2 linked regions of the Neodiprion lecontei genome follow. The protein of the gene in region 2 purifies or fractionates together with the protein of the main gene of each other region. This does not show direct contact. Links are inferred from orthologs where the notes say so. Each region holds a gene or a part of one and is shown on either strand. Other genes may lie near its edges.

Region 1 (18,189 bases), on a different chromosome or scaffold from region 2:
AAAAAAAATATATCAACTTGCCACAAGACTTTGAATATGTGCTACAAAAATAGTAATAAACTCTGTCTCACCACCTCGAGTAAATACTTTGTTCAGTTGGCAGGTTGAAATACAGTTTCGACTGCACATCGACAGTAACCAGTGGGGTGTCTGATACGTAATTACAATAGACACGTAAATTTTGGAGCTACTTGATCGACATGAGTGATTCAGAGTATAAATTTAGGGCTATGCACTCAGATGAAATATACTAAATCGCACAAACGAAAGAAGATGAGATTATGGAAACGAAAACAACGAATTTTGGAGAGTAAGGTGTAATTTGTGAGGTTTCGCACCTAATATACGAATTAATTTTAAATGAACCTCGGAGGTAGAACACGCGCGATTTTGACAGTGGCGTGAACGTCAAATACCGGCATGTCAATACCAGATGCCAGATCGCCAGCAGCAGAAGAGGCTCGGTTAATATAAGCGGGCGGGAGCGACGGCGAAGCGCGAGGAGAAGCGCGGGACGGGTATTGTTTTATCGATAAGAAAATATGTCGCAGGATCGGCACGCGATCGAGAATAACGAGTGATAGAATTGTAATTGGTAACGAATATATGTCATGTTTAATATTCGCGAATACGTAATGGGTGATATAGAGACCGCCAACGAAAGCCAAACTTGACAGTAAGATCATTGCCCCCCCGACCGTTTGAAACCGAAATATTTCGTAAAGTAGCTGTTAACATACCTTTTAAAAAGCTACACTCAGCTAGTTTATATTCTGGCAAACACTTGAGGCTCTTTCGATTACGTTTCACACAGTTTACCGCGGCAAACCGAATTTACTCCGCGATTTTTCCGCGCTCGAGCCAAACACCAAAAATCCCTTCACGGGTTGAAGATTGTACCTCAACGTATCTCGACCCTGATTGGTCGAGGTGTAGGGTCTTCTATCAGGGTCCTCTATCAACCCGGCATGCCTTGCGTCGTACAGCCCGCGCAAGAAGGGATACCGATGACGCATTCAAACGTTATTCAAACATTATTACACCCGCAGCGAGAAATATCACATCATTTCTTGTTATTGTTCAAATTGTTAGTTTTGCGGACTTATTTTTTCTTTATTCACCATTTTAAGTCGAATATACACCAGCAGCAGGGAATTTTGGCTTGTTCCAATTAATATTGTACGTAATGAAAACATAATGCAACATACGCCTCCAAGCCTAGCGATTATTGTGAAATTTAGTATATTGACGGTAAAATATTAGAGTTCATGAAAAGAAAATGGGATGGGATACGTTAACGAGGGATTCGTACGGTAACATGTGTAATCAAATATCTAAACTTACCTACTGTAATTTCTGGAAAAACGAAAATTTTTTTAAGACTCAATAGTGACTTCACAAATTTCAGGATCGGATATAAATAAACCGTCACGGTAACGTGCGTATCTTTGACAATCACCAGCTTGCTTTTATTTATATGTCCTTTTTCCGTTTATCAAAGCATAAGTGATTGATTTTTTTCTCCTGAATATATATGTACGGAGTGAAATGAAAACTACAAAAACATCGTACTTGCAACAATTGGTCACCGTCAAATCAACATCTGTAACTGAAATCAAAGCTCCCTCTCGGGTTTGTAGCATTGAAAATAAGTTGAAAAATCTTCAACCCATGAATAATGATTAATTTTTTGTTATTCACAAGAATCTTTCTCTTCTCAGTTTTAATTAAACCAATTCAAAAAGACTAGTCAAATCAATTAAAGTATCCGCTTCCGAACTGTGACCGGGCCACGCCATCTTGTTTGTTCCACTAAGAGTGAAGCAGCGGCCGTGAACAATTAAGGCGCAAATATCGTCACTGTTGCATTTGATGATTAACTAGACTCTGTTAGTTATTCCGTTTAATCAAGATGTCTCACGGTGGTAGGAACGAGTGTAGGATTTACGTGGGAAATTTACCACCAGATATTCGTACCAAAGACATTCAGGATCTTTTCTACAAATTTGGTAAAGTTACCTTTGTTGACTTGAAAAATCGTAGGGGGCCGCCATTCGCCTTCGTTGAGTTCGACGACCCAAGGTACGTATTTTTTTGCGTTTCTACCTGTTAGGTTAACATACGGGTGTTGGGCATACTTGTTTATCGCATATTATGCTCAGCGCGCTCTATTCCGCCCTTGTCGCTAATAATCATGCTCATCTCTAGGCCTATGCAACGTAACCTTGTACTTACATTGCGTGATCTATTTTTGATAGCAACCACAAATTTACCAACCATTTGAATTCATGAGCGAATTACGTCTATTAACACGTATCCGCATTTATGCACAAATACACGGCGATACTTTAAAGTTAAATTGTGCTTAATCGTTTTAGCGGATGAGAGTTCATGCATATTGCATAGCTTGCAGAAGTCACTGTGAAACTTGTTACACCGAGCGCACATTTGAATGGAAATTACATATGACTGTATTCAAACTTTACATCAATTAAAGCCCACAGTATCTAGGCACTGGCAGTCAGTGGATGTAAATGACGGCAAGATTGGCAGTCGAGAAATTTCACGGCTTTATAGCAAAATACTTTCGGGTATATTCCATCCTTGAGCGAGCAGGTGGCGCAGTGGCTAAGGCTCTGGAGCAGTGAACTGGCAAGCTTGGGTTTGAGACTTTGGGCCATAGAACTTTCTGTGTCTTATTTTTTGAAAGAAGTTCGACCTTCATCATACTTTTGCTACGGGCTTGATAAATTATTGTATTGCGTTGTCATCCGAAACCCCAACACACACTGGGTTATGATTTCGCTGCCAGTTTGTGGCTACCAACCATGCTGCTGTTATAGTTGTTATTCTGTATGTAAAAACTCAGGGTCTATTCCATCTATAAAGTGAATTACATATCACTCCAAATACGTAGTCTGCTAACCTCTCAGCCAAAAATTCTGGATGTGCGTCTGGTTACTTTATAGTGCAACAAGCCACACTGACCTAAAAAATACAAGTTTTGCAAGGTTACTGAATTATTAACTTTGCGCATCCTATAGTTTTTACAAGACAGCATAATTGGGAAATATCAAGGAATTTTACTGAACAGATCAAACATTATAAAAACTCGACAAAAAAATAAAAAATGAATAAATAAAATAAAAAAAAAAAAAAAACAAGAAAAATCAAAAAACTGCAGGTTTTGGTTCTCCGACTTGCAGTTTATCGAAACTCAAGACTGTTTCAGATATATTTTATGATACAAAACAGGTTCTACTCGGAATCAAGATTTGCATAGTTGATGAGGAGTAGTAAAACATGATTTTTTTAAAAAAAGATTGTAGATTTTTTAACAGTAAACCTTACTAGCTGTCATGTAAATCAGTCTTCAATTTCATTCAGTTGGACAGCATAAATAGCTAGGCAAAAGTTTTTTTCAAAGTTACTACAAATTTTGCAGAGTTTGGCGATTAGGAATTTCTAACAATCTGACTTCTTGACAGTGTCTTTTGTAGGCTCAAAGTATCTCCAATAGTTGACTAATCTTTTCGAAGATATTCAGTTCATATTGTAGAATGATAGTTTCATGTTGCAAACCAATTTCATATATGATGTGAACTAATTTTAAGTTACACAGCTTCAGTAAACTTCACCTGAAACATTTTGATCAAATGAATAAAAATAAACAAATAAGTAAAGATGTTTATATTGAAATTACAGGGATGCCGAAGATGCAGTACATGCTAGAGATGGTTATGACTATGATGGCTATAGGTTGAGAGTAGAATTTCCCAGGGGTGGGGGACCAAGTAACAACTTTCGCGGGGGACGTGGTGCAGGAGGTGGTGATAGTGGCGGTAGAGGTGGCAGAGGTGAAATGAGCAATTCTAGAGGCCGTGGTCCTCCGGCTCGTCGATCTCAGTATAGAGTATTGGTTACGGGGTTGCCATCCTCGGGAAGCTGGCAGGATCTCAAAGACCACATGCGCGAAGCAGGTGACGTTTGCTTTGCAGATGTCTACAAAGATGGGACTGGTGTCGTTGAGTTTCTACGTTACGAAGACATGAAGTATGCGGTCAAAAAATTAGATGACTCCAGGTTCAGATCGCATGAGGTACAACTTCTATGTTTATTTGTAATTATTTAGTGGAGTGCAATTAACTGAACTATCTTTTTCCATATCACAGACATATTTTCTCTTCTGTAAATGACAAACTAGACATTGAAAAAATGTAATTTTCTAAAACTGAAAATTCTAGCTTATCGATTTAAGTTAATTTTTAATGTACTGCAGGTAAAAATATTGCAGTAATTGAATTGGCCTAAAATTTTTTGAAGGATTGCACCTTATTTCATGACAATTACAATAAATTTTGTTTGCCTCAATATTAATACATGCCTTAGCCACAACAGTTTCTCACTACTTCAGCATTTTTCAAATATATTATTATTTAAACAATGATCGTAAATGTCTTATTTCTTGTGACTGTCACGTTAACTTTTTATCCCAATTCTCAGGGTGAAGTTGCATACATTCGTGTCAAAGAAGACCACAGCAGTGGAGATCGCGGCCGCAGTGAAGATCGAGAGAGAGGACGTACTCGTTCGAGGAGTTACAGTCCACGTCGTCGTGGTTCTCCTACCTATTCGCCATTGCGTCGCAACTACTCGCGGTCACGCTCACGCTCCAGGTCTCGCTCATACGATTAGTGTGTACGTATCAATACTATATAACCTCAGTGATAATATGAGTGATTTTTCAACCACTCATGCCTTGCCGAATTTCGTTTTCACTGCTTTGACTCACTAAAGACATTTATCTTGGCTGAATGAATTGTAAATTGTATTTTACAAACTGTATTCAGGTTGTCGTTGCATAATTGACAAGTATGTTGTTACCTGTGTAATACATACGATCACAGGTGCAGTGTAACATAAGATTTTTCACAGTCTTTGATAAACATGATTCTTTTTCCTAATAATTTTTCATCCCTTTCTTGATCACTTCAGAGGGAAATCTTGACAAGTTTTTGGCATCGAAAAATTGAAAGGAATTGAATACTATCATTATACTTGTTGTGAATTGCATCACTTTTTTTCTACAAGTTAAACCTAATCAGTTTTATTAATTGTCAATTGTGGTTGATGTTCTGATATTGAAATAGCTTTTCATGCATAATGTCTGTAAAGTTAACAGTGTTCGGTTTACTCAAATAAATTTGTACCAATTGAACTAGACAATTACAAAAGTTCAAGGAAAACATCTTTAACGGCCACATTTTTTTAAACATAATAGTGCTTTGATACAAGATATGAATCGTCACCGAAACCTATAGTGATTGCCGAAATTTTTGAATATACATCGTGAGTAATATTCGATATGTCGAATAATTCTGTACCACTATTGTTTTATCAAATCAATCTGCAATTTCTTGGAATATTACATAAAGTCTTCGTTCCATTTCTTGGTACCATAATATTAAAATGCGCACATGTGCATATTCTTTACTATGCCCATGTAAAGGAATAATGTTTGCAATCCCGATTAATTATCATTATCAGCTAGATCAGGGATAGGATTGTAGATCCGGAGCTGGCGTAAAATTCGCAATTCACAACAAATATGACGTGATATATCATTATCATCTACAAATACGGATCAACGCGTGATTTAATGTTTTATTTTTTGCCCATAAAAATTGTTTTAAGCCATAATTATTATTGCAGGATAACAGATCTTTGTCAGATGAGACCTCATGGTAGCCAAATATGAGAACAATGATTTGGTGATCATGAGCATTGCGAGACATTGCGCTGACAACCCCACTGCATCTTTTTACTCATAACATGCTGTACACCGCGTCATCTCCCACCTTATGTTTAATACGTTTATAACTTTTAATGAGAAAACTATCTGCAACAGACAAGTTTCAGTATTCATAAGTCTTAACACTTATGAAAATGGATTGTGAAAAACACTTTTTCAAAGCATATACGTGGCAAACCACAAAGTATAGTCATTTTAAAGCTTATGCAGAAAGTAAAACGTATTCTCCTGCATTATTAAAACCACCAATCCATTTCTATAAGTCTTTGATGGATAACTCAATCCTGTGCTTAAAAGATGTAAATGTGAAAAGATTTTCTAACTGCACACATATTTATAAGCTTTCGCTCTGAGTCGATAATGCAAAGAGGCTCTGAATATTATAAATATTTTTACCAATGGGAACATCTGAATATATTTACATGTATTACATATTATAAATGTTTAAGTAAAATATCCATTCCTTTGAGAATATTATCAATTGTATATACGAGTCATAGGTCAGAGTTGCATGCTCAAATTCAGCAATGTTCCTTACACAACTCGTCGCAAAACGATTTCACACCAATTATATGTTATCTGAATCTTGAAGCGATTCCTTCGATTGCAACAGAGGAATAGCCTATAACGTATTTTCATTGTATTTTAAAATATATTTAATTCTATTACAGAGTTAATATGTGTTCATAATTCGAAAGAAATACAAAGATTCATTCCTGTTGTCGTTACAATCGCTTAGGGATTGCAGAATACGCGTTTGGGGTTTAAAGTTTCGAATCTGATATCGATTATCTATTATTGTATCAAGAAACTAATGTATTTTTTCTTCTTTTGTATATTGGATTGGATTGTAACACAATGAATGAAAAACTGAGAAACTACACGATGTTACTTCTTGGATGGATATAATGCTTCGTTCATACTTGACGATGGGATGGGATGGAATGCATTTTGGATGGATTTGTATGGAGCATAAATTTAAGCGGATTAAAGATAAGTCGCAGTGAGGATAATCAGGATTAAGGATAAATTTGGACAAGAGGAAATTCAGGAACGCGATCCTCAAGCAAGGATATATTCGATTCGAGGATTATCGATTAGCTGGGATTGGATTCAAGCTGATACACATTGGCAAGTCCATTGAAAACTCCGTGAAATTGACGTGGTTTTTTTCGTGTTTCTTCCTTTTTTCTTCCTAAATTACAGTCTGTTCACGTCCATCCACAAACACTTCAGTGTAGAAATTTAATAATATTTTTAAACGTGGCTAAAACATCAAGAACATATACCATGTTTTAATGTATCAAGTTGAGATGATTTGTTCTTTAAAAATTCATATGCATATTCATTTCATTTAAGTTTTATTATTTTTTTTTTTTTTGTTTCAAGCTGAAAAATTTGTGAGTGGTAAATATCCATGTGTCAATATTGAAACATCTTTCACTACCAATCAAAGTTCTTCAATAAATCACATTTTTTTTCTGTAGCTTATACCCAGGAGTTTTATATCCAGGCATCAATTAAAATAAAGTACCACACCATTCTTACATTATTATGATCATCTTTTTGCATTTCTCTCTGATATATAGTAATACTTTGCATTAGTAATTGATATTAGTATGATTACTATTAGTACGATTGCTCAAATTTAGAGAAAAATAGTTAGTGCTAACAAAATGTTGTTTAAACCCTTGGATTGATTATGAAACATTCTGCATACTATGTTAAACAAGTTATAGCCAACTACACTCCTGGTCTCGAATGTGTTAGAATCAATCTAAAGGTCTATACATTAACTATGCAATCATCTCAAAAAATACATGGATAGTTGTATATAATTATATTTTGAACTTTAACATCATTGGAATATTATTTTGCTTCAAAGTTGTTTTTCTATCTCAGGAATCTGATATCATAAACAGAGAAGCTTCAACAAGAACAGTTCTATTAATGCCAATTTTATCGGTTTTTGTTTGACTTCAACAATGCTATACTTTGGTTAAACTAAAAATGTTTAAATCACACTTTTAACGATATACTTCGAACTTATTAAAACATATAAATACCAGTGTTTAATATTCGCATCATTTATATTTAAAAGAAATGCAAAACGGAAAGAAGAGGATTTCACTTAATTGAGACTTTCTTCTTTTGACGTGAACGGACTATAGTTTTTTGTGGATTTGGATACCGCGAAAATATATCTGCTGCGAAAGGAACAGGGAGATGGACAGGACTGGAATTTATTGGGATTCAGAAGCCTCGCGGGATTGATTATTACGCATGGAGGATTCTGCGATCTGGATAAATTCAATGGATAATATAATACATACCATTTGGACTTGTCAAGTGGATGGGACAGGATATTTGGCAGAAGGATTCATATTTCGATCAGTTTCAATTACATGAGACATGAATGAGGAACGCGCCTCACCGCATAGGGTTCATGGAATGCTCTAGGTTGGATTCGGACTTGCAGTCGCTTAGGAGGAAAGGTTCAGGATCATTACAGAATAGTTGGAAATCATTTTTAATGGAGTCAAAAGGATTGGATGGCTATTTATAAGGTACTTGTACACCAGTTTTGAAACTGAGGTACTTTCCATGTTCGCTTTTTGCATGCCTTGCTTTATTCCCTTCTGTCGTCTTCTTTGAACACCTCCTAATTATCTTTCCATTCATTGGCTGAATGCATTCAAGTTGATCTATCCATTAACTAACACACGTCCAGTACTTAGCAGGAACTCTACTCACTGGATGAGTTTCTCTAACTGCGTGTATATACACATATATACACAATTAAGTATCGCTAGTGGCTTTGTGACGATATAATCCATTGATTTGATGTGAAGATTGTTCTAAACAAACTTATTTTCAACATCAAAGACGAAACATCCATGTCTTAGAAATAATTCGACACCTCATACATTTGCAGAAAACATCCACATAGTTTATTGTTTCGAAGTCAAATCTATACATCCTCAGGTAACGAGGTATTCAAAATGGATTGAACATATCGTATATTAAAAAGTAGCTGTTTTTTAAGTCAGAATGATCAATAATGTAAAACTGACTATTTTTATGATAAAACTGATATAACGATATTTCTTCAATATTGATTGTCTTGGCCATAAACTAAAAATGAATTAAAATGCTGAAAAAATCTTCATAGTAGTAAGTACATAACGGGGAATTTAAGTTCGTCAATCTCTGAAATAAATATATACTCTTCATCAGACTTACAGAGAATTTCAATTTATTTGAAAATTATTATCAAACAAGGGTTTTTATGTGAGTTATACTGACTACGAGCAGTAACAAAACCTGAGGCTGTTTAGATGTTCTTTTCGTTGGCTGGTTACTATCTTTGGTTGAGTAGACTAATTATATAGTTAATTCGTTTTATTACCACCTTTGCAGTTTGTTCAAGCTAAGTTTAATATGTCATTGGTGGTAAAGTAAAACATTAGGCGATTTTAGTTTTTAAAAAATTGTACCCACTCATATTGCCACCAATCCCATAATCACTCATTTCTTTCGTGCATGTTCTGATTTCTCTACAGCAAGCACTTTGAGAGAGCTTAATACAATAGGTTCGTTTTGTAAACTCACTTCTTTTTCAAGATGTAGAAATATATCACGAATAGTGATCATTCCATATTTGTTTACTTGAAACATTCTGCTGGTAATGTACATCCTAGGATTTGACCACAATAAAATTTATATATGCCGATTAAAAACGTCGTTTATTCAACCAAATAATTTATCCTATCCAAGATACTTATACTCGTTCATACTTTCCATATACTTTCATTCGCAACTTAATCATGATTATTACTGATCTGAAAGACCTAGAAAATTGATAATTTATGTTAAGAATTGCACAATATTTTATATTTTAGTACTATAAGTCAAAGCAAGATTTGTAGTGTTATTTTCTAAACACAGAAGACTTTACTATCTTCTGATTATTCAAGAAGATATAGATATTATCGCAGTAAAATACAATATGATGGAGTATGGTGATTTCACAGCAAAGGATCATCCAAACATTCTACATCTTGTTTAATCCATGTGCAGTAATCAACCAAATCATAGTGTAATATATTTTTAAATTATAAGTGTGTAACAACTCTAGTACTTAGTTTGCTTCGAAAAGAAACAGTGGTTTTATTTATCAATCTGTTTACCACTTTTAATCTTGGAAGCGGGAAAGGCGCAAGCCATCAGTGGACATCCGGCATAAAGAACCACAAAAGTTGTTTTTATCGTACATAATTAGATTCAAACACGAGTTAAGCATACATAATATTCAATGTTTGCTAACGATGAGGATGTGGTCTCTTACTCACCCCTTTCTTTCACTATATAAGATATCTGCAAGGATTCCTGCAGTAGTTAGTCTTGTGCCATCTTATACGCTAGACAGTTTTCCAACATGTCGCGAAGTTTGACAGACATACTGTATCTCTATGATCGTCCATCGGAACCAATATTTGTCTCACGTGGCAATAAATCAACCACATTTGACGTTCCACCAAGTTATTTAGTAAGTATTATTCAGGGCGAAAGACCAAATATTCATAATTCGTTTTCAAGTGAATTACATCACCTATGAGGTTGAAGTGATAAAATTGCCAAACCACATATCTGGATTTCGAATAAAATGGAGAAAAATTTGAATCTAAATAATTTAACAATGAGTTAATTGTCATGTGAATAGATGATTGATTCATGATTGATACCATACTTGATACAATCAATTTATACTGTCTCTAATTTTGATAACCTATATTTTACATAGTATGATCCGTTCAACGGATTATCAATTACCGAACTTTATAACCATTCATTACAGGTGGAAAGATATCAATCTGTTCCATCGGTTTTATCACGGGTTGGTGATGATGTCCCTAGAATTCCTGTCAAGAAAATAAGCGTACCATCACTCGGCATAGCAACCAATCTGGGTCGCGCAGAGAATTTTTCTCTTTTCATGCCAAGCCACCGCAAAATGGCTGGACATCTAATTGAGATTCTACTGGGAATGGCAACTTATGATGATTTTCTATCTGCATCTGTTTTTTGTCACGATCGAATCAATCCCCAAATGTATATTTACTGTTTGTCCGTTGCTATTCTGCATCGACCAGATACCAGAGATCTGCCAATACCTACCTTGTGCGAAGTCTTTCCAGACAAGTTTGTAACAAGCGGAGTTTTTGCACAAGTACGAGAAGAAGCAAACCTTGTTGCACCTGGCTCAAGGGTAAGCAAAAATTTTGATGTAGTTATTTAAGTAATAGTACAGACAAATGCGACTCAATTACTCAGTATGTAATTATTTAATAATTATTGCTTCATTGTGATTTTTCTGCAATATTTTCTGAAATAATCCAATCCATATGTATGTTAGTACCAAACGTGTATCGAAGTTCTAACATTAAATGCCTTTTAGATGCCAATCGAAATTCCTCGAAACTACACTGCATCTGATTTGGATGTGGAGCACAGACTTGCATATTTTCGTGAAGATTTGGGTATCAATCTACACCACTGGCATTGGCACTTAGTCTATCCACCTTCCGGGCCAATGCAAATAGTTAACAAAGATAGACGTGGCGAACTTTTGTATTACATGCATTCACAGATTATGGCTAGATATAACGTTGAACGATTTTGCAATGATCTTCCACGAGTGGAGCGTTGGAACAGGTGGCGCGAACCAATTGCCGAAGCTTATTTTCCCAAACTGGATTCGCTTGTAGCCAGTCGTGCTTGGCCAGCTCGTCCAGCTAATTCAGAGCTTAAGGACATTAATCGTACAATTGATCAACTTCAATTTGACATACAAGACCTGGAAAGATGGAGAGATCGTATTGCACAGGCAATTTCAACTCAATCTGTAATAAATGTAAGAGACTATTTTTCTCTGTCTTCAACTAGCCACAACACGGTAATACATTGAAGACTGATTCACAATCTGAAAACTGTGTCCTCATTCACATTATGTATGATCATGCAGACATTTTTAAAGGTAATTTTAACTATAGGAGAGAGGTCAAACTATACCACTGACAGAAAAGGATGGCATAGATGTATTGGGAAACCTCATGGAAGCTTGTATTCTTTCTCCAAATTTTAATTATTACGGTGATTTGCACAACTATATGCACATAGCACTATCATTCATACATGATCCGGATCACAGATATTTGGAATCCTTTTCTCCTATTGGGGATCCAGCTGTCACTATGAGAGATCCTGTGTTTTATCGTCTACATGGTTGGGTAGAATCTATTTTTCAACTGTATAAAGGGACGCTCCCTCCATATACAGTGGAACAATTGAATAACCCAGGAGTTGATGTTACAGGTTTGTAGCAGTAATTTTTAAAAAACTACTGAGCCAATTTAAAGAGTATGCGTGGGTGCTCTTTGCATAAAAACTACAGAAGTGATAAGCAGCAACTAACGAACAGTTTTATTCTGTGAATCACAGGTGTGGAAGTGGTGACAGAGAATCAGCCGAAGAACGTATTTCATACTTTCTGGCAGCAGAGTGACGTTGATATGTCACGAGGCTTGGATTTCATACCCAGAGGTTCTGTTCTCGTAAGGTTCACACATTTACAGTATACTCCATATATTTACAGAATTCAGGTAAATAACAAAAGTGGAGCAAATAAAATGGGAACCTGTAGAATATTTCTGACACCAAAACAAGATGAGCTTGGTAGACCTATGGCTTTCACAGATCAAAAAAATATGATGATTGAACTGGACAAATTCACCGTGAACTGTAAATAACTTATTACTAAAAATTTTAATACCAGTAAACATGGCACCGTAGCGCATTCCTTTAAAATTTATGCATAATTCACAAATTTTTAGTAAGACCTGGAGCCAACACCATTGAGCGTAACTCGACATTATCATCTGTAACAATTCCATTTGAAAGAACTTTTAGAAATTTGACTGTCAATGTTCCAACTGATATTAATGAGCTTGATGCTTTTAACTTCTGTGGTTGTGGTTGGCCTCAGCACATGCTTCTTCCAAAAGGAACTGAAAGTGGCTATGCGACAGAACTTTTTGTTATGATCTCCAACTACGACAATGACAAGGTATTTTCACCTGGTTAAAGTTATTTAAAGAAGAAAACAGCAATTTCTTAGAAATACACAAAAATTATCAATGGATTTGAGAAAAATACTAATGAGGCTTAATTGTCTATCATTCAATAAGATTAAAACGCATTGTAGCATGAATCTATTTTGAGCCAGAAATAATTCAACCAGCTGTAACGAACAGATTCAATTTAAACAAGTGGACTTACATTTTGTCTATTGTGATGTATCAGGAAATGTTTGCTTGAAGAAATATCTGGATATTTTGATTTTAAATATATACATTGCGATATTGCTAATAAAAAGTTTCATTTATTGTTAGATCGAACAAGACATAGGTGGACAATGCAGTGACGCTGCTAGTTTCTGCGGAATACGAAACAAGAAGTATCCAGATGCTCGAGCAATGGGGTATCCATTTGATCGTCTACCACGTAATGGTGTTGATACTTTATCCCAATTTTTGACACCAAATATGAGAACTACGAACGTGCTAATACGTCATACAAATTCCATCTTACGTCGGCCAAATCAATCTACTGCAACTCCATCTACAACAAGGATTTAGCTCTTTTAGAAGTGTGTAAATCTATCTCAGAAATACAACTGTTGATGTTATATGAAGAAACCATAGCATGAATAATTGTTCATCAACATATTTCATTTCATTTGTTATGACTGAATTTTATGTAAGAAACTATGTTTAATCGAATATCACATAATCACAGTATATTTAATACAAGAAATCATGCTACCTTAGCAGAAGTTTACATGTATGTACACGTAGTTAAATAAGGTCAGTCAATATTTGTCTCTATTGCTGACATCCATATTTTATCCACGCTTATGAATTCCATTCTTCGCAAAGTTCTATACTTACATATCTCAATCAATTATTATTCAGAAATAAAAAAAGTTTCTTACACTACACTTCTTTATACACTTGTGTGTTTTTATGGTAGGAAAATAAGAATAAATTGATGTATCTTCACATGGAACGTATAACAGTTGAAAAACCTAAACCTTACATATCTATACAAGTACTCGGTATTTGATGCTGTCACATGTATCCATCAGTATAAAAAAGATAAGAATCACAATTATTCCCAATCCACACGGATTGTTATACTATTTTACTAAACAGGAAGGCAGCAATTATTCTTCAAGTAATATCATAATTACTTTTCAGTGAAGCTTCAGACTTATTTCTATTTTGTGTGCATCTTCACATTTGGTATCGTGAGTGTATGTAGTTGAAACGTTATTCTGAAACTGTCTACTCTACATATAACCGTATCAAGTCATCCTCTTTGGCTGGATAGTTTGTGATCGGGCATTTCTCGTATTCTCGTATGTACTTTAGAATACACTGGTAGCAGAAGACGTACCTACGTAGAGAGTAATATTTATTTTTGGTAGAAATTTTGTTTGCTTGGTAAGGATGCTTTGTAAAACATATCGATACTTCCGCTATGTGAAACTACATGATAAAATGGAATTAAAACATGCCAAACTTACCCTGAAACTGGCAGAGCTGTGGGGATTTGCCGACCTTTCCGACAGATTGGACATAATCCTTTATACTGTAACGCTATTTTTGGAACCTGGATTGAAAATTAAAATGGAATGACATTCATCCATGTCTAGCTTAAGTGCAGCAAACAAAAAATCCGGATTTTTCGGAACATGATGCATACATTGTTAAAAACATCAGGAGAGGGAATATGAACTCCCCGTATTTTGTTGAAGACAAATGTAAGTATACCTTTCATTTACCTCAGGAGGCACAGGTGTAGGCAGAGCCATCAGGTTTACGTAATAATTTTCTTGATTCCACCATCGAAGAAACTGGAGAAAGAAAGCTCCAAATTCAAGTGATCTAGTAAAAAGCATTCCAAACAAATCTATGCCATTACTGAAGGTCAATGTTCCGAGTCTTATCTTCATGAGAAGGTCAGTGATGGTGAGGAATTTTTTACCATCTGCGTAAGACAATGTAACAGAAGCCAGCCAAAGAAGCGGAGTTGAATATTCTGACCGTCCAGCCATGTACCTCAGGTACCGATAGAGTATTAGGCATTCATAAATAACATGAAATATCATGTTTCCATTTATTACCAATTTCCTTACAAGTTTCTGCCATCGCTGAAAAAAATTAGTTATTTAAATAATGTGGAACAAATTAAAGTGTTTGTACTGTTGATGACAACAAAAAGCATATTCAAAGCTTATAAATTATATAAATAGCTTTTCGAATTCACGTACCTTCTGAGGTATTTTACCATCAGCAACTTCCAATTTATATTCTTCCGCAAGCCTAAATAATTTGGTTCTGAAGTGCGGAAAGACGACTAACAGCAATAAAGAAATTTTCTCTTGCTTAGTAGATAACTTTCCATCTGAACCTGCCACGACTGAAGAACGTTTCAACCCATAAAATGTTTCGGAGAATGATGCCGCTGAAATAAATATGGATTTGATTAGGCTGACGAATATTTGGAGAAATTAGTTAGAAACGTAAAAAAAATTGCTCAATATATTTACAATATTTTTTGAGATAGTGATATTGTAGAGCGGCATTAAAAACCAGATACGCCTCATCGCACCATCTTTCAAGCCATCCATATCGATGTGGATTGACCAACACCAAATACTGAAATACTGTGTATAAGATTCACTATGTAACAAATTACAGGATAATAATAATGAAAAAAACGAGCCTGCGACGTACCGAGATGATTTTTTTGAAGACTGGCTCGAGTGTAGAGGCTAAAGATTCTTGCGCAACAATTTCAAAAATCGAGGGTTTAGCCTTGACTGTATCCGTTAAATACGCTCCTTTTTCAGCCATAACTATTGTTGTCTAATAATAAACCATAACACGCTCCGTAATGACGCTACTATTTTCATTCATAAAATATACATGAAAGCAATTGGCTATGTTATGTTGATTTTTGACCTGATAGAGTTCAAAGAGTTCAAGGTTAACAACTCCGTTCACTTGACCACCATGTTGAATTTTGTACCTGAAATCATTGAAATACGCGGCTTTTTATCAATGTTCAAAATCATCTCTTAGTTCCAGTATGTATTTGAATTGTTCCAACTTGACCATCGAAAACTTTAATATTTGTCACAGGTTACGGATCAATTTTGGTTAGAATGAATTTACAGAGACGCGTCAATTAAATCCATCAAAACGCGAGCTGTCAACCGCTTTGTGATTATGAATTTTCTGCAAATTTATTATGCTTATTTACGAAACTTTTGGCTAAAATAGCAATGGAATTAAATTGGATAAGATTCGATTTTTAATGCAGATAAATACCGATTCGGTATATAAGCGGACTACGGAGAAAATCTGTTTTAAAACATATTTGCATTTGTTAACCTCGAATTTAATAACTTCTCATACTTTGGCGAAGATTGTTGCATTTCCGGAAAATATATACTTAAAAAATTGGGCCAATTTCTAGAGGTAGTAGCAAGGCTTTTGGGTACAATTTTGTGTTACTGAAGTGAATATCTGACCTCTGAGATTAATTCGAGGGAAATTTGTATACGTAACAACCGATAGCAGCCGACAGCTAAGGTCAGTGTGAGAGAATGGTCGTTCGTGGGTGGTTCCAATTGCCTGTGTCAGATGTAGCTACTCTCGTGTCAAAGTGAGTGAGAGAAGACGGAGAAAAAAATACATAATGTTTTCTCTTGCGAGTGGGTCGACGTATATTCCTTATAAATAAATAAGTGATATGGTGAAGAAAAAAAATGTAATAATCGTGATGTCAAATAAATAAAATGAAGGATAAAATGCCACCGTTTCGTAGGAAAAAATCGGGGAAATCGTTTCCGGTGAAAGTCTGCACTTTGGACGCCGAGCTTGAGTTCAATTTGGAGGTTAGCTTCTGGAATCTATTGTTGCAAAACATTGTTCCCAAATTATACGAACAATGTGTTACGTAATGATTCCTATCCTCCATGTCATTCGAATGTTTTTCATTGTAAAATTCTCCCTTTCTTAGTGGCGAGCCACTGGGAGAGACTTATTTGATTTAGTGTGCCGAACTATTGGTCTCAGAGAGACCTGGTATTTTGGACTTCAGTATGAGGATGCCAAAGGATTTATTTCTTGGCTCAAGTTGGACAAGAAAGGTATCTCCCTCATTCTTTCCTCTATTTATCCTTTTAATTCGCAATTTTATTCAACGCTACCAAAAGAACTGCCTACACACCTACTTCCTGCTATTGAAAGAAAGTGAAGTCTTATTTTTTTTTCAATTTCCTGCCTAGCAGGTTTATTATACCTAACACAAGAGACTATGCACTGCAAATTCTGTTATTAGATCCCAAGAGATAATATAAGATGATAACAGTGATTTTAGGAAGATTTGTAATCTTGTTATTTTGTAATTTAAGCAAAGCTCAGTGCTCAATTCCTTGATTGATCTAAACTTATATTAAAGCTATTAGAATTTGGGTGCGTTTACGAATTTTCGAGAAAAGGCTCAATAGTTATATTCTTCTTACACCTGTGTCAAAACCAAGAGCACAAAATATGTTCTGGCATTGCACCAAACTTCCAGAGCAGGTGTAGTTAACATATTTTCGATGAAACCACTGGTAGGAGCCTTTCTCCATAGAACTGTCAATAATTTTTAGTCCATGCAGTTACTATGGGATTTAAGCGTTTTGCTTAGTTCTTCTGACTGCGGTCAAATATCTATGCATTTGAATTTTAGTACAAATACAAAACAATCGATCACTCATGCTAATCAATATTATGTCACGTGATAAAAAAAAGATTAACGAAAAAAAAATAGGTATGGTGGATGTGCAAGTAGGTAATGTTTCTGTGCTTTCTATCCTTCAATTAACACAAGTTAAAAACTTGGCACTTCATCTATGTATAAATTTCTAGTCCAGGACCAAGGAATTTCACAACAACCAACGACGCCGTTTATGTTTCTCGCAAAATTCTACCCTGAAGATGTGGCTGAGGAACTTGTTCAAGAGGTAACGCAACACTTGTTCTTTTTGCAAGTGAAGCAAGCCATTTTGTCTATGGATATTTACTGTCCACCTGAAGCCTCTGTACTACTTGCGTCGTATGCCGTGCAAGCGAAGGTAATCGAAATTTTTATTGTTAACTAGTGTGATTTTTAGTAACGTGTTGTTCACAGTTTATTACTATCTGGTTCGTATATCAGGTTTTCTCACTTTGAGATTGCCTCGCTTACAAAGCACCTTT
Region 2 (14,731 bases):
ATTCAACTCACTGTTTGTACGTTGAGAAGTACCGCTTGCCAGTATAATTTCAATTTCTTAACGAGCTGACTGATCGGGTGAACTAAATGAGTTCGTCAATTCCTAGAGGATAGCTAATTTCTGGTAGTCCGATCTCCTCCACCTTGGTAGGTCAGTGTCTGTCTCGAGTGATCACCATTGCCCCTTCTGATTCATTAACTGTTGTTTAGCGACCCGGATCCGCAGATAACTTCTGACTTACTAATTCTGTGCATATAGGAGGGTTGTGGCCGTTGTGCACGTGCAGTGGCATCATAGAGCTAGTCAGTAACCAGCTAGCTACAGTACTACGTATATTACACTACATAATTGTGGCGTGTTGTGACTTGTGTCTGACCCACCTGGCCGTGATATATCACTTCTCTCCTGTGGCTGTTTGCCGACGAATGAGGTAGAAAAACACGGCCAACTGCATTCCTCCAGCATCACCTCAGAACTCTCTGCTACACAGTCCGTCCACAGTCCGTCTCCGCCGTGCACGCTGCACTACTCTCTACATTCAATCATGAATCTTATGTTCCGGAAGAACTTTGCGGTGGACAAGGGAGCCGGTGCTGGTGAACGTGGGAACAGTGGTGTCGGCGGGGTGGTTGCCGGATGCGGAGGAACCACCGGTTATCGACCCCCAGGGATCCGAGGTCGGACCGGCGTCGGTCGCGATGCGGTGCGAAGAAGTCGAGAGTTTGGATATTATCCGATGGACGAACACCCCGCGCACTCGTACAGGACCCATTTGTTTCTATCGCCACCAGCCGTCAGCAGCGCTACAGAAGATTCCGGTATTCAGATAGGCTCGTCGAATCGGCGGAATTCCGGACCCATTATTAAATGGGGTGCCGGTGGAGTCGGAGGTGGAGGCGTTGGAGGTGTTGGTGGCGGTGGAGGAGGAGCTGGGAATGCGAAACGAAAACAGAACGGCAACCAGCAGCGAGATCCTTCGGAGCCACATACGCCCGCGGCCTCCAGGCAGGTTAGATGTGCAATCTTTTTTTTTTTTGGCATTTTTTTTTTTTTTTATAGACGAAGACACCACCTTTCACCGCTGAAGCACAAGCCTCGACACGCCTGTGTATACTTAACGAATACACTTGACAATAGAGTGACGATTGAAAGATGTAATAAAATGTTATTCTCAATGAGCACCCAGTTCTTACTCCCCTGTAGATGATGACCCGGGCCTGAAATCCAGCAGGCACCACGAACGCAAGAAACGCAGGGAAATCGCTTGGGAGCACGAGCTATTTTCGGACTTGTGTATAATGCAACCGCGGTCACTGATCGCGTCACAGCAATTATTTGTCGTTTTCGGACGTCGGATACAGCTGATGAGGTACTATATTCTCATTGTCGTTCATTCAGGTATCGTTTAGCGCTGGAAACACCGCAGGTGCTACCGGAACTTACACGCCGCTTGTGGTGTCCGCAAACAGTCAGCTAACCGCAGGGGAACCAAGGACCCTTGCGACCTTGGACAGGGACTGTTTCATCATTCCTTTAGCGTCTCTGGACCATTTTCTTCCTGCTGGTGTACCGGTGAGTCGCGATTACTGTTCACCAAGACATGCTGATCATGCTTCGAAAGACACGAATCCTGTTCCTCTGACTCACGGTTGAATTATAAAAAATCTGCCTTTCAAGCTAGCGCCGATTGTCGACCGGAAGAAGACCGGCAGCCCGTTGTCCGTCCTCGAAGTTGAAGATCCGAAACAGTGCATCCTCGCTCACCTCATGACGCCCCTCGAGCCCCTTGATCCTTTAATGGAATCCCCCCTCGCCTGCCCTCTCGTCCTGCAGCGGGACACTGCTGCAGAACTTCTAGCTGAACTCGCGCCAACGGCAGCCCAGAGTATACTTCTTGTTAATATGGAGAGAAACGGTACGTTCAGAGATTGTTAGATATACAAAAACGCTGGCCGTGGTCCTCAGACACCATATTCACAGTTACCAAAACACGGCGTAGAGTATTTCATTCAATGGGACTTGGTTTGCCCTTGACTCAAACGGTGCCAAAAGTAATTCTTTGATGATGTTGGCACTTAATTCTGCAAGATCTCTCACGTTTGAAACGTTGCAGAATTTTAACTATTCATCGTGTCCAGTGGTACTGGAAATGTCCTTGAATTTTGCTTGTCCTGCAAAAGTCCTGGAAACTATCAACTAAATTTTTCTTGTGTCCTGGAAATATTTTATTTTTAATGTTCTTGAATAATCTGAAAATATCGTAGAAATGTCCTGGAAACGTGCTTGAATTTGTTACCGATTTTTTACTTGACATCATGTTATTGTACCTACATATTTGACGCGAGGCTGTGCTGAGTCTTTCAATCCTAGCGCTCAGGAATAGACATAACACAGTCAGTCAGATCCATCGACTCCGTTTGTATAATTCTACTTTTCTTGGTACCCTGATACCGAAATAACACATTACACATCTTGATATTAAAAATGTTCACAAGGCTCTCGTTGAATCGTGATATTCATAATTCCAGCCGAGTTTCCCTTCATCTCGTACTACTTCATAAACAAACTTACGAGAAATCCGGGTGAATTTCATCACGAGGCTCAGTGCCGTGCTCTCCAGAAATTCGACCCCAGGGAGATCAAATACGCAGCCAGTCACACCTTGGATGTGTTCAACGAAGTCGCCACGATAGCTCGGCCTCCGCTTGAGCCACCTGGAGGCCGACCGCCGCTCGCTACGACTGGCTACATCATTTCTGTCTTCAAGGTTTTCGAAGGCGACGACGGCCTCAAGTTCGAACGCAATTGGCTTTATTGGACGGGTAAGAATAGTTGACAATAACAAGCAGCACGATCTATTATGTCAAGAATACCGAATTACTTAGTCCTGATGAGATTTCGTTAGAGATTTACAGTCCTTCTGCGTGACTGTGTTAGATGACTTTATGCAATGCATGCATGAGAAGTGCTACTTATCGTGCTTGCAGAGAGTGGTGTAAGTAGCGCTTTACATGCAGGGATAGAATACAGATACTGCGCATGTGCAAAATGGCTTAACTGTAATTCTCGCACTAGTGCTTTCTTCTCGTTCACTTCTCGCACCAGCGCTTTCCACTTCTCTAACTCGCTGCAGCAGCCCGAAGAAGCAGTACTTCCCATGCATTTGTTGCATAAACAGTTATGTGACACTTCGGCATGAAAGCCACCATATGTATGCCGTGTGACGTGAAGTGTGCAGGAATACACGAATATCACTGTACCATGTGCAGCAGCTGTATTACTCGTGCGGCCAACTTCACAGCATGCTCATAATGGTCGCTTTCTCGCACTTGTATCACAATATACTATTATACTCGGTGGTCACGGGTCAGGGAACCCTGGAGAACCTGGAAATTTCATGGAATTCTGAAATTCTGGAATAGTCAGTGAAATGTCAGGGCTATTTGCGGAAAGTCAGGCAATCATTTACTGTATTTTTTTCATACAAATGCATCCCACAATTTTTTTAAGTTTCATATAAATTAGATCGAATACAAATCCTTTTTACCACCAGCGGAAGTTTCTCTTTAATCTTTAAATATTCCTAAATATTAACTTCCAAACGATTGCACGCATCGGTTAGGCGGGACAGTGTGAAAAAGACAGGGAATTTTGTGATGAAGATTTAGTGGCTACACTGTTATATCACTACTACGAAATAATCACTACTACAAAATTGATGTTCTACCGAATTTTACCGCAGGAGCACGAATGATATACAGATATCTGCCAAAATCTGTCGGACTACGGCGCATCACGCTCCACAAATCGATGTCACCCGGTGACAAGATGTATCTTTTGATATGTGAATGCGCACAGCTACAAGACAACCTTTCTGCTGCTGCAATTTTGCTGCCTGCACTCCGCGCCCGTCTCTGTGGATACACGGGACTCTACAGGCCATCGGTGTGCTTCTGACTCTGTTTTGAGAAAATTTTTTTACGCCAATTTGAAGGCGACGAGTAGTTGCACCTCGCATGTATACTCGTCGTTTTTAACCTGCAAGTTTTTATCGATGTCAACTAATCAATTAACGCGGTATGTAGAAGCACTAAGGCTGTGAGATCAATATCTGTCAATTACCGATTTTATAGAGTTTCTTTTTAGGAAATTAACTAGTCAACGTGATTGATTTGATGGAAAACACGATTAATTAAAAGAACAGTTGAGCCTAACTGTTTGATCTATTTCAATTTTCGTGGTTTGGCAACTTTGATTCATTGACTAGTAAAGGGTTGGTCTATACAGGTGCACTTGTGAGGACGATTAGACAGATCATTTCATCAATCTCAAGCGTTTATCGATGTTAGAAATCGGTGGCTACGAAAATTGATTGACATCTCAAGAAGTTTATAGTATTTAAACGACATTCGTAACATATCGTAAAGAGATGAAGAGGATTATGTAAGGTTTCTGGAATCTTTCGGATTTTCAAGTTGAAAAGATGTGAAGAATTTCAGAGAACGGACAACTCGAGAAATCAAGCGTAACCTTTGTGAAACCTTGCAGCCTCGATAGATTTCGACCAACAGGAAATTTCATCGTAAAAACGTAACTGGTCAATTGTTGAAGTACGATGATAAAGATTTCTGTTACAAACGGTCATTTTTTGTTCTTACTGTGTATTAGTTATTAGATGTGTGAACAATGCATACAATCTGGCAAAATCTAGCAAATTTATCGCCGTACGAAATGAGCGACACACAGAAATACGATTATATGAATACGTAATATTAAATATGAGCGTTCAGTGTTATTAACGGACGAAAAAAATATTCTAATAGCCCGAAAATCCTATTAGTGTGCCAGTTTCCGTAATTATAACAACTGACATGAAAAAGCAATAAAACAGCGCCCCTTCTGGAACGGTAAGGGCACGTCAATACCGAGTGCAGGAATTTTTCCATTATTGACGATCTTTATGACCAATTATTAATCATATCTAATAGGCTATACAATATGCTTTTTCTATACGCGATGCGGTCTGTCATATATTGTAGAGGAAGACAATTTTTTAAACATTTTTTCTTAGTGCATAAACGAGTACTTACAATTCGCACGCATGCATAGACTATCTACAAAGTATGTAATATATTATAAAACACATAAAGAACAAATTTGAGCAAGACACAGACGATATTGCTTAGAGAGAATTGACGTAGGAAAGACTCGTCCTTGTGAGTATAGAATTTACGCCCTAATCATTGATTAGACAAAGAATAGACGAATTTATGTAGACTTAAACTTTACAGCAGTTAGTTTTCACTCCTTACGCCAGTCGGAATGCTCATATTTAGATTATTTAGCAATTGCTAACCATCATCAGTAGATAATTAAATTTATACGATGATAATAATGATCTTCAAAACGCAGGGCGTCCTGAAATCTATATCGTTAAATAATGGTAAATACATACAATAATATAAATATGCGCTACTATACGTAGAGTAAAGACATATCTTACGATTAATAAGGCTGTGATATTTAAAGAGCGTATTACGTTTGTTGTTTTTTTCGTTATTGCGAATTTGATTCGTACGATAGCTTTAGAAGTATTTTGGATGCCTTTGCAGTTTGAATAATCTATCTAACGAAAAATTATTATATCAATGCATGACTCGCCTTCTAAAAACCGCAAGCCTCGATACGGGACAATAACTATTATCCCATTATAATAATTATAGTAATATACTTAGATAAAATTACGTTCAACTTTACCCGAGACGGTCTCTCTATCGAAATAATACTTCGTTACATAGTCGTCGGATGTGTTACTACATACATGTATGTACATACATATCGACGATAGTATACATTGCAGACATATAGGCTTTAATGACAAAATTTTAACGATCACTCGTATTCTTATTACATATTATATCATGATGAAATTACACGATAGAAAATTAATAATGATCAGCAATTATACTGATTAGCTTCAATACTCGCAATTTCATAGGGAAATTAGGAGGACTAGGAAAAAACGTACGTTTCAGTTTCAATCACGATTGTACTAGATTGTGTTTAAATCTGTAAGATACCAGATCCTAGTTGATCAGTAGCCTTGTGATATATTTCCATAAAACTCGATCAAACCTATTCGAATTTAGCAGGTATAAATTTTGAATCAAACTAGAAAATCTAAGCTTAATAATACGTAGCTAAGCAAATAACCGTTTAATCGAAGTGGTGAAGCGATACCAGAGATTGCTGAATGGTTGTAGGTTGAAAAAATAACAGCAACAAAATATTAATACATATCTGATCGGTGTTCCTGCAAGTTCGTTATTTATTTATATTTTTTCCCCGTTTGTGCATGCTGGGAAAGGCAAATTCTTCGTCATACGTAACCAAATTCTTGTACTACGCACAATGATAATGACGTCGGTTTTTTATACTCAAATTTAATTTTATTGCCCTGGGAAAAAAAAAACTTACGTTTACGATATACGTAACATGTATAATGCATACAAGTGTATAAAGATAATATCGCGATTAAGGAAGATATAATAAATACATCATAAGCGAACCAACAGACCTTTTTCGACTCGTTTATAAAACGAATATATGCATAGGTATGAATATATAATATCGTATGTGCAATTTTTCATATATTTTTATCGAAGGCTAATTTCAATCGTTGTACAGGTACAACACGTTGTAATAAGAAGCTAATAAGAGAAATCGAAATGTTTTGTGATGCAACATACACATAATACCTGTTCATCTAATCAACGCTCAACAAATCGAAATACAAATAAAATAAAGAATACCGTCGCTCAATTGGCGAATCGGCGAACAGTTTTAATCATGATAATATTAATCTTATACCTACGGATTATGATCGAATAATAACGGTGTTTCCGTTACGCTTACCCCAGGTCTAATGATTACATTTTTTCTGTTATCACATTCTTCTCTACCTGTAATATCTTACTTATTACGTACGAAAATATCGCGCCATGCTCACCAAGAAATCCAAGTAAACGAAGTACTTGTTTTTTAGTCGTTCCCGAATCCTTGACCAACTCATTTTCGAAGCTTTATAAATTCGACAATATTTTTCTGCATTCGTCTTATATGCCCACAACGAAGTGATCAGAGAACGTAACATAAATCGTTGGGATAAAATTGAAAAACAATAATAATAGTAATACGTTAGCGTTTTTGTCTCACGTTCTACGATAAACATACGAAAAATGTATTACCTACCTATTTAGAAGTATATATTACTGATTATACTATATGCTACAATGGAGATGTAGTATACGACATGAAAGATACATAAACTTGAATCGGATTTGAATTTGAAGTAGAACAATATCGGAAAAACCGGAAGCCCAAAATGAAAATTATAACGTCAGTATTTCTCCGCTGAGCGGTAACACAAATCTAATACATATTATATCGATATATTTTCAATTGATGCATGTACTGCGATAGTAATATTAACAATAGTAATACGTAATTGTATAATAACAACAATAATAATAATAATAAAGTTTGGCTACATATTTTCCTCGACTTGATTTCAGTTTTGATTAATCATACGTTTATTGCGTTATGACATTGTTGTGTAGATGATCTCAACTTTATGTACAATTTTCATTGAACATAATCAATACCATCATTGATTATCGTACATTTGGATAATAGATAATAATAAATACTTATATAATTTGGTACATGACATTAGTAAATGTGCAGATATATATACTCTATGTATGCGTACTTACATGGTATAATACTTCTATCTATTGTTCGCGTAACAGCAATTCAAAGCTGATATAGGACACAGTGAAACTCGTACTTTTTTATGTGTCACAAAAATGAATTAATACACTAGTTTCACAGCAATGATATATTGTAGAAGTTTCTAGAGTTGTCATAAACAGAGGATTAATATTTCAAAGTCGACAGAATACATATTTGGAAAAATACAGGCTTTGCTGTAATCGGAAAAAATTTAAATAATCACAAGAATTGCCTGCTGTTGAAGATGCTAGTATCCCTTTGGTCCGCGGAATCGACGTCTACCGTCTAGCTGCATACAAAGGTATTTCGCGTACATTAATTTTTTAGAAGGAAAAGGATGAAGGTATCTAGCAAAAATAGTACAGACATAGCGACGCTATATGTTTTTCAAAAAGGGATCTCACCACCCTGAATATATCACATGAATTTTTATTTCTTGCAATAATACGTCCAGTTGATGAAAAATGTTAAATTAGAATTTAAAAAAAATAAAAGTGGATTCACAAGCTTTGAAATTATCCCTAGTCACCACCCTCGTAAAAAAAACATGGAATAAACACGAATGGGGGCTTCCCTTTAAGTGAGATTGTATCGTTAAGAATTAGAAACTACTCACAAGCGAGCGTTTACATTCGAAGAAAGTTACTCTCAGTGCCTGACATTTGTCAGGGACAGTTCCATCAGTTGTTCTTAGGCATTCCCTGGGGGTGCGTTTATGCTGAACAAATGAAACTTGCGCAATTAATCAAACTACACAGAGGTATCATCTGAAATTCAAAGAGACCTCGGAAGTATAAAAGAATCATTTGTTCGAAAATCAATAACCAAATAAACAAATAAATATATAAGTAAGTAATGAAAAGAAAATTGTAATGGTCCAAAAAATTTCATCATATATCACTGACGAATGTTACACCGATTTCAGAGAAAATTGGGATGAACACATAACGATAACCTCGAAATCAGGCCAACAACTCACGTACAATTTTACAGCAGTCGCTTTCGAGAAGGCACATTTTCAGGTCTGCTCGGGCTCCGGCGCATCTTGACTTGTCGGCCAACGTTTCATTTTCATTCTCGTATTGCATTGTTTCTATAGTTATCGTTTAGTTCAAATTGAAAATCAAAATAATTGTAGTGTCTGTCGTAAACGCTTCATTGCCGAGTTGAAATGTGCCAAGTGCAAACTAGTGCTGATAATTATTGCAGGGTACTACTTGACCGACTACAGGCTAGCGTTGAATATTTCTCTCAATCTTAGAGCATATACCACTCGAGGAAGCTACAGTTTCCATCAAACTCGGGAAATATGCGGCCGCAGTGATGAGAGAGAAAAATATATCCGTGTTACTCCCTCTCTCGCATTCTGCAATTTGATTGGCCAGGAGGAATCACGTGTCGGCCAATCAGGAATAGAGCGAGGAAACCAGAGTAGAACCTACATAACCCTCCTCTCTCCGTCATTTCTCTGCTCGACTTTCCTCACGCGTGAAGTCACCAAGTAGTGTATGCTCTAAGCGCCCAATACATTTACGGCTAAATTTGATTACCTTAAAAATGGCGTCTGCAGTGGAATCCATGATTGTTGACGAAAAACAAATTTCTGATAAGCCGGTTGACAGAGAAAAGGTATCGTAGTAATATTTTGCTTATCATTGGTGTTTCTATATCCCAGATGAATAACTGGAATGTGTAACCAATCTGTAAAATCTCATGCATCTTAACCTCACTTTCTCACACTCATGCCGCTATTTAGACCTGCCCGCTACTTTTGAGAGTATTTTGTAACATCGGACGACATCACAACATCGTCGAATACAGTAGAGGAAATGTGCCGTCAAATGAGCTGCAAATTTACACTTGGTATGTAGTTGAAAGAAAATTATCTTTCCTCACGTCGAACCAAGACGTGAACAGTGATTGCATGTGTTCATGTCTTGTTTTCAGGATGGATGCCACGCTACGTGAGATAACTGCGCTCGTGAAAGAGGTGAATCCTGACGCGCGTAAAAAAGGAACCTATTTCGATTTTTCTCTGGTTACTCCTGAAGTTCGTAATTCTAGTTATCGAATGCGAGAAATTGGGGTAACTTGTTCTGGTCAAAGAGGAGCAGATGATAATAAAACTCTCGCACAGGCTAGGTACTCGGTCCACATTATTAATATTCACAATATTAATCTTCACTAACACTATTGAAATATACCGAACTTTATTGTTTTCAGGCTCTTTCACTAGAGTTACAAAAAACAATTTGATTTACTTAATTTCGTTTGTTGAGTCACTGAATATCACTACTCGCCAGAACATATTACTATTTGTCACTTATTTGGGCAACTTTTTTCCTCAGGTTCACGATCGGCGATTATTTGGACATATCTATTACCCCTCCGAATAGAATGTCACAGCCGATGATGCGACGTGGAGGCTTACGGCAGTATTGACTTTGTTGTATTTCAATTTTGTACGATTTCAAATTAGTGTTCGAATCATTTTCACTAGGCTTAATTAGATATAATATATATTCGTCAATTATACTTTTTACGTACGTTACGACGTGACATACTAATTGAGCCTATGACATAGTATTTGTTCGTGAAACATTTCACTGTTATTTTGTATAATTCGGGAACAAAATGAATTACAAATACGAATTTTTGCAAATTATACAGTTGTTTTCGATTTATATGCTCATTACTGATAAAGTACAAGTGTTCAGTTTTACCAATTTTCGGCTTTGCATTTTCTTAAGTAATATATAAATGGTTCACTTTAGTACTTATAAAAATTTACCAATTGAAATCGCATACGAATAAGGATTGAAAGTAAAAGTTGGACTAACGCCAAATTAAATGTAGATCCAATGGAATAAAATTCGATTGGTTGTTTTTATTTGGATTGGTTTCAGACATGATTAAAACAATTAGTAGATCTGCAATTATTGAGAATCAGTTAACTTTGTTCAGCCTTGATCATGAAATTATTTACACGAGGCGATTCTTCTTTTGGTATATTGAACATTGCTAAAAGTTAATCAAGAACGGTTAAAAGTGTCTAGAACTTTTCAGTTATATGTATAAACTGAATAAAGAGTAACGAAAAATTTAAAAGCGCAAGTATTACAGATACGAGACGAATTTTTTTCCTTTTTTCTTTTCAATAAATACAAACGACCGCTGGCAAGGGAGTATCATTTGCGATTTTTTTCCCCTCAAATCTTGAATTACCACATTACGGGATCAAATTATATTTTTGTTATAAAAACGGTATTTGAAGGAAACAGAATAGTTTCTGACAGTCGAGTTTGTTGAGAAAGAGCCCCAATATTTGTCCTAGGAAATGGAACTAGGTACGTGTGCTCCGAAGGCGGATAACCCATAGTTTCCATTCTGCCCAGGAAGCTCTGTGGAAAAAAAAAAAGCAGTAGAAATGTCATGATATAAGAACTTCGCGATGGATCGTATTTTGAGTTTTTCCACTGTATTCTAATGATAAAAAATCAAAACGAGGTTATACTCTTTGAAGACTTACTTTTATCGTGTCGCTAGCTCCCATAGAGATAGTTTCTTTGCCCCCATTTGGCAGTCGCAGACATAAACGCAAGGACGGCTCGTCATCTGTTGAACGATCATAACAAATAGTCGAAGACTCAATAATTTGTGGATCAAATTATGCAAGAGGTGAAAAATCAAGTTATTTATACTTACTTGAATTTACAACGGTTGAGTTGGGCTCAGAATTACTCGGTTCACCGTTCTGCAATCATATATTTCAAATTTTAGAGGTAAGAAATCAAAGGGACAAGATAGGAAAAAGTAAAAAGAGGTTCAGAGAGAATGTGGGGGTAAGCTGATTTGCAACTAGTGTTAGACGTACCTTTTTCTGTAATAAAGAATGTAGAATTTCGTGCTTTTTCGTCTTTGATAATTCCTCCGTTCGCGACCGTTTTCCTAAGATACTAACGCCACTACGAGGAAGGATTACGTTACTCGCGCTGGGCCCAGCATCGACACGTTCATTGTTAGCTGGAAGATTGCAATATGGCTTATTATGATGGGACAACAGAGTATTTCATTGATGCCTTGGTGTAGTTAATTTGTTACCTGATTCCACGGCCGTGTCTCGAATTCCTCTGGCTTTTTTGCTTTCTGGGGTCATACCCTAAGATCAAAAATTAAAATTTACGAAAATTATCAATTTCTTTCTTGCCTTTCGCAGCATAAAGAAAACATGATCACCAAAGTATTTCATCATACGAACACTTGCCGAAGATTCGGAAGGCACATCGCACCGCCGGACCATGGAACCTGCAGGGCATGATAGCCAGTCGTCTGTAGCGGTAGAAGGAACCTGCGGTGCAGTTTCCGGGGATAGATGATTGCTCAACATGTCACCTAGCCCTGAAACTAGATGTTCTACCGTAAACCGGTCGTATGTCCGGACACACTCGCCTGTTCTTGGGTCCAGAACAGCTAGATAAGGGTAATCAGTGACATTGTAGAAGTCGATGAAGCGTTGACCGTCAGATGTGTTAGATATGACCTGAGGATATGGCAAACGCTAGTTACACATGAGTAGAAAATTAAAGGCCGTTACTGGATCTACATATATATAATATTTCTTTTTCTCTGTTACCGATGGAAGGTCAAGTATGAGTTAAATTTCCTAATAATAAGTATGCGATCGATATAATTACCTGCCACAGAACGAAATGGTCCCTGACCATATCCCTGATCTGCTCATTGGGCCACAGGTCTCTGTTAAGTATTTGGCATGAGAATTCAAGTGGATTTTGTACATTAACAAGAAGCCATCGGTTTATGAGCTTCGCATGTTCCCTAGCCTCGATGAATGATCCCAAAAACATGATGTCGTAAGGGGGTCTGAAGAGGTCTTCCAGGCGCTTGGACTTCCTTGGTGACATTTTTTTCACCCCTGTTACCCTCCGCGCCATTTCCTCCTCCTGGCGTTCTGGCATCAGTTAATTCATTCAATTTAAACATCGCATATTAGCTTGAAACTCACTTGAATCCATGTAACTCAAAAGGAAACTCTAAAAATTGATGTTTCACGCCGATTCTCAGCATCAAGATGATATTTGCATCGCGTATTACAAACATATCTTGCATAAACTTTTTGGTAATTAAAAAGTACGATGAAATAAGGTAAGCCGACGCCGATTTATAAGGATAAAAAGCCGTCCCGGTTATCGAGAGCCTCTTGTTCCTTACGTGTTTCTACCGCAAAGTCCCTAAATCTATCAAACACACTGTTCGATGCTCTGGGGAACGCACAGACGGGCTGTGTTGGTACCAACACTTCTCGAGTAGGTAGAATTGGCGGCCTGATCTCTGGTTCTGGGGGTTCAGTTTGACCGTCTACGTCTGCTACTGCCTCTGCTCCGCCACCTTCAAACATCAGGCTAATAGCAGTCTCTACATTGCCGTCAGCCACCACGAGGTACTGTCTGGCGACAGCCTCGCTGGATCCTGGAATTTGGAAAAAATGTTCTCATGAAAGAGAGGGAAGAAAATAATTTGAAACCAAATTAGGTTAGGTTAACACAAAAAGGGCAGTATTGGATAAAGTTAGGTTAGATGAATGAATCAAAGTGAGGAAAACTTGGGAAACTCAAGATTAGGTCAGATGAGATCAAGGTCAGCTAGGGTGAATTGAAATAAAACCCATGGTAAATGTGTTATGCTGGTAAGGCTAGTAAAATGGGTAGAATATTACTGTAATACAATTCTTTGGAAATAAACATTTCAATGTGAAGTAAAACAGAGAAACGGACTCCTGCATTCTTTGTTTACCGATTCAACTGTTCGTACAGTCACATTGAAGCATTGAATTTGTGTTAACGGCAAAATATAGAACTGAGTATAATGAAATTGATATTTCAATTATTACTGTTCGCTTTTGGGCTAACCTGTGACTTCGATGAATTTTTCAATCAGTTCGCGATCCATCCTGTTACAACATCAAGCTCTAGTTTTGGATTCTATATCTGTTATTCGCCGATTGTTGTATGAGAAAACAAAATCGTCTTCGTGTTTGTTTGAAATTTCGGTGGTACAAGAACGCTTCCCTTGAATATTAAATCCGGTATCGTTTCACGGTCGCGGATCGATGCGATTTCGAATCCAGATTTTGAATTCTTGAACTTTTACCGAATTTTATAACAGCCACGGATCACTGCGGCTGTCAACCGGCATTAGCTATTTTGTCTTCAGCTTTCCTCTCCTCTCTCTATCTCCCGCTGCGCAACCGTTGCCACAATCGATCATGGACCATGAATATTCTCATAAGAAGGTAACTCTGTTGGGATTTTTTACACCGTTCATGAAATTAGATGAGACTTTTGACGAGAGTTGGACAATTCATTGAAAATATCTTGAAATAACGTTTTCATTTCAACTACCTTCACGCGAGTTTTTGATTAGATCTAACAGAATAGGCCAATAATAGTAAATTATTTACAACTTTATCAGAAATTAATGAATTCGAAGCATTCGAATCTTTTTCAAGCGCAGTATTCCGCCACGTTCTTTTTCCATCATCTTGTAATATAATTCTCTAATAAATTCCAGCTTTCGATCCCAAAGTATCAATAGTGCATATATAAGTTTAAAAAAATTTACCATACTTGTGTGTGAAGGCACATTTATTCAATGAATAAACCTTCTATATGTACATATGTATAAATACTATTATAATAATTAATATTTGTAATTTTATCCGTCAATAATATTCGATATTCTCATTATGAGCCGATTTTATCTGGCGAAGTGGAGAAGTTTTTAAATTCCTCTTCATTTATATCAAAATCAGTCATTTTGTCCTCCAGTAGCCACCACTTATCCATGAAACCAATGTCAACTATTCTGTGATGAAATCCTAAATACTGTGGTTTGAGATACGAACATGTTGCTTTGTAGT

The links.
Region 1: the proteins of histone deacetylase complex subunit SAP18 (region 2) and serine/arginine-rich splicing factor 1A purify together in Homo sapiens (co-immunoprecipitation; 4 studies listed by BioGRID and IntAct, with this or other methods). This does not show direct contact. The link is inferred for Neodiprion lecontei from reciprocal best matches to the Homo sapiens genes SAP18 and SRSF1.

Annotation. Positions count from the first base shown.
Region 1 is NC_060262.1:33,690,853-33,709,041, reverse strand, and holds serine/arginine-rich splicing factor 1A, read left to right. Parts: upstream 1-1,796; 5' UTR 1,797-1,912; coding exon 1,913-2,082; intron 2,083-3,705; coding exon 3,706-4,099; intron 4,100-4,503; coding exon 4,504-4,695; 3' UTR 4,696-4,698; intron 4,699-5,712; 3' UTR 5,713-6,693; downstream 6,694-18,189. Other genes in the region: phenoloxidase 1, read left to right, coding at 10,251-10,361, 10,671-11,081, 11,271-11,726, 11,866-12,187, 12,314-12,613, 12,706-12,938, 13,264-13,509; peroxisome assembly protein 12, read right to left, coding at 14,218-14,329, 14,460-14,545, 14,718-15,086, 15,207-15,400, 15,486-15,594, 15,673-15,792; merlin, read left to right, coding at 16,740-16,838, 16,964-17,093, 17,860-18,065. UniProt on the Homo sapiens protein: Plays a role in preventing exon skipping, ensuring the accuracy of splicing and regulating alternative splicing.
Region 2 is NC_060264.1:30,479,954-30,494,684, reverse strand, and holds histone deacetylase complex subunit SAP18, read left to right. Parts: upstream 1-9,263; 5' UTR 9,264-9,351; coding exon 9,352-9,423; intron 9,424-9,550; coding exon 9,551-9,657; intron 9,658-9,741; coding exon 9,742-9,936; intron 9,937-10,142; coding exon 10,143-10,236; 3' UTR 10,237-10,459; downstream 10,460-14,731. Other genes in the region: uncharacterized protein LOC107228101, read left to right, coding at 566-1,009, 1,399-1,572, 1,678-1,915, 2,529-2,822, 3,743-3,957; cytochrome c oxidase assembly factor 5, read right to left, coding at 8,042-8,083, 8,411-8,512, 8,778-8,882; UBX domain-containing protein 7, read right to left, coding at 11,037-11,195, 11,324-11,409, 11,500-11,548, 11,669-11,817, 11,896-11,953, 12,053-12,334, 12,489-12,763, 13,024-13,281 and 1 more; mitochondrial import inner membrane translocase subunit Tim29, read right to left, coding at 14,556-14,731. UniProt on the Homo sapiens protein: Component of the SIN3-repressing complex. Enhances the ability of SIN3-HDAC1-mediated transcriptional repression. When tethered to the promoter, it can direct the formation of a repressive complex to core histone proteins.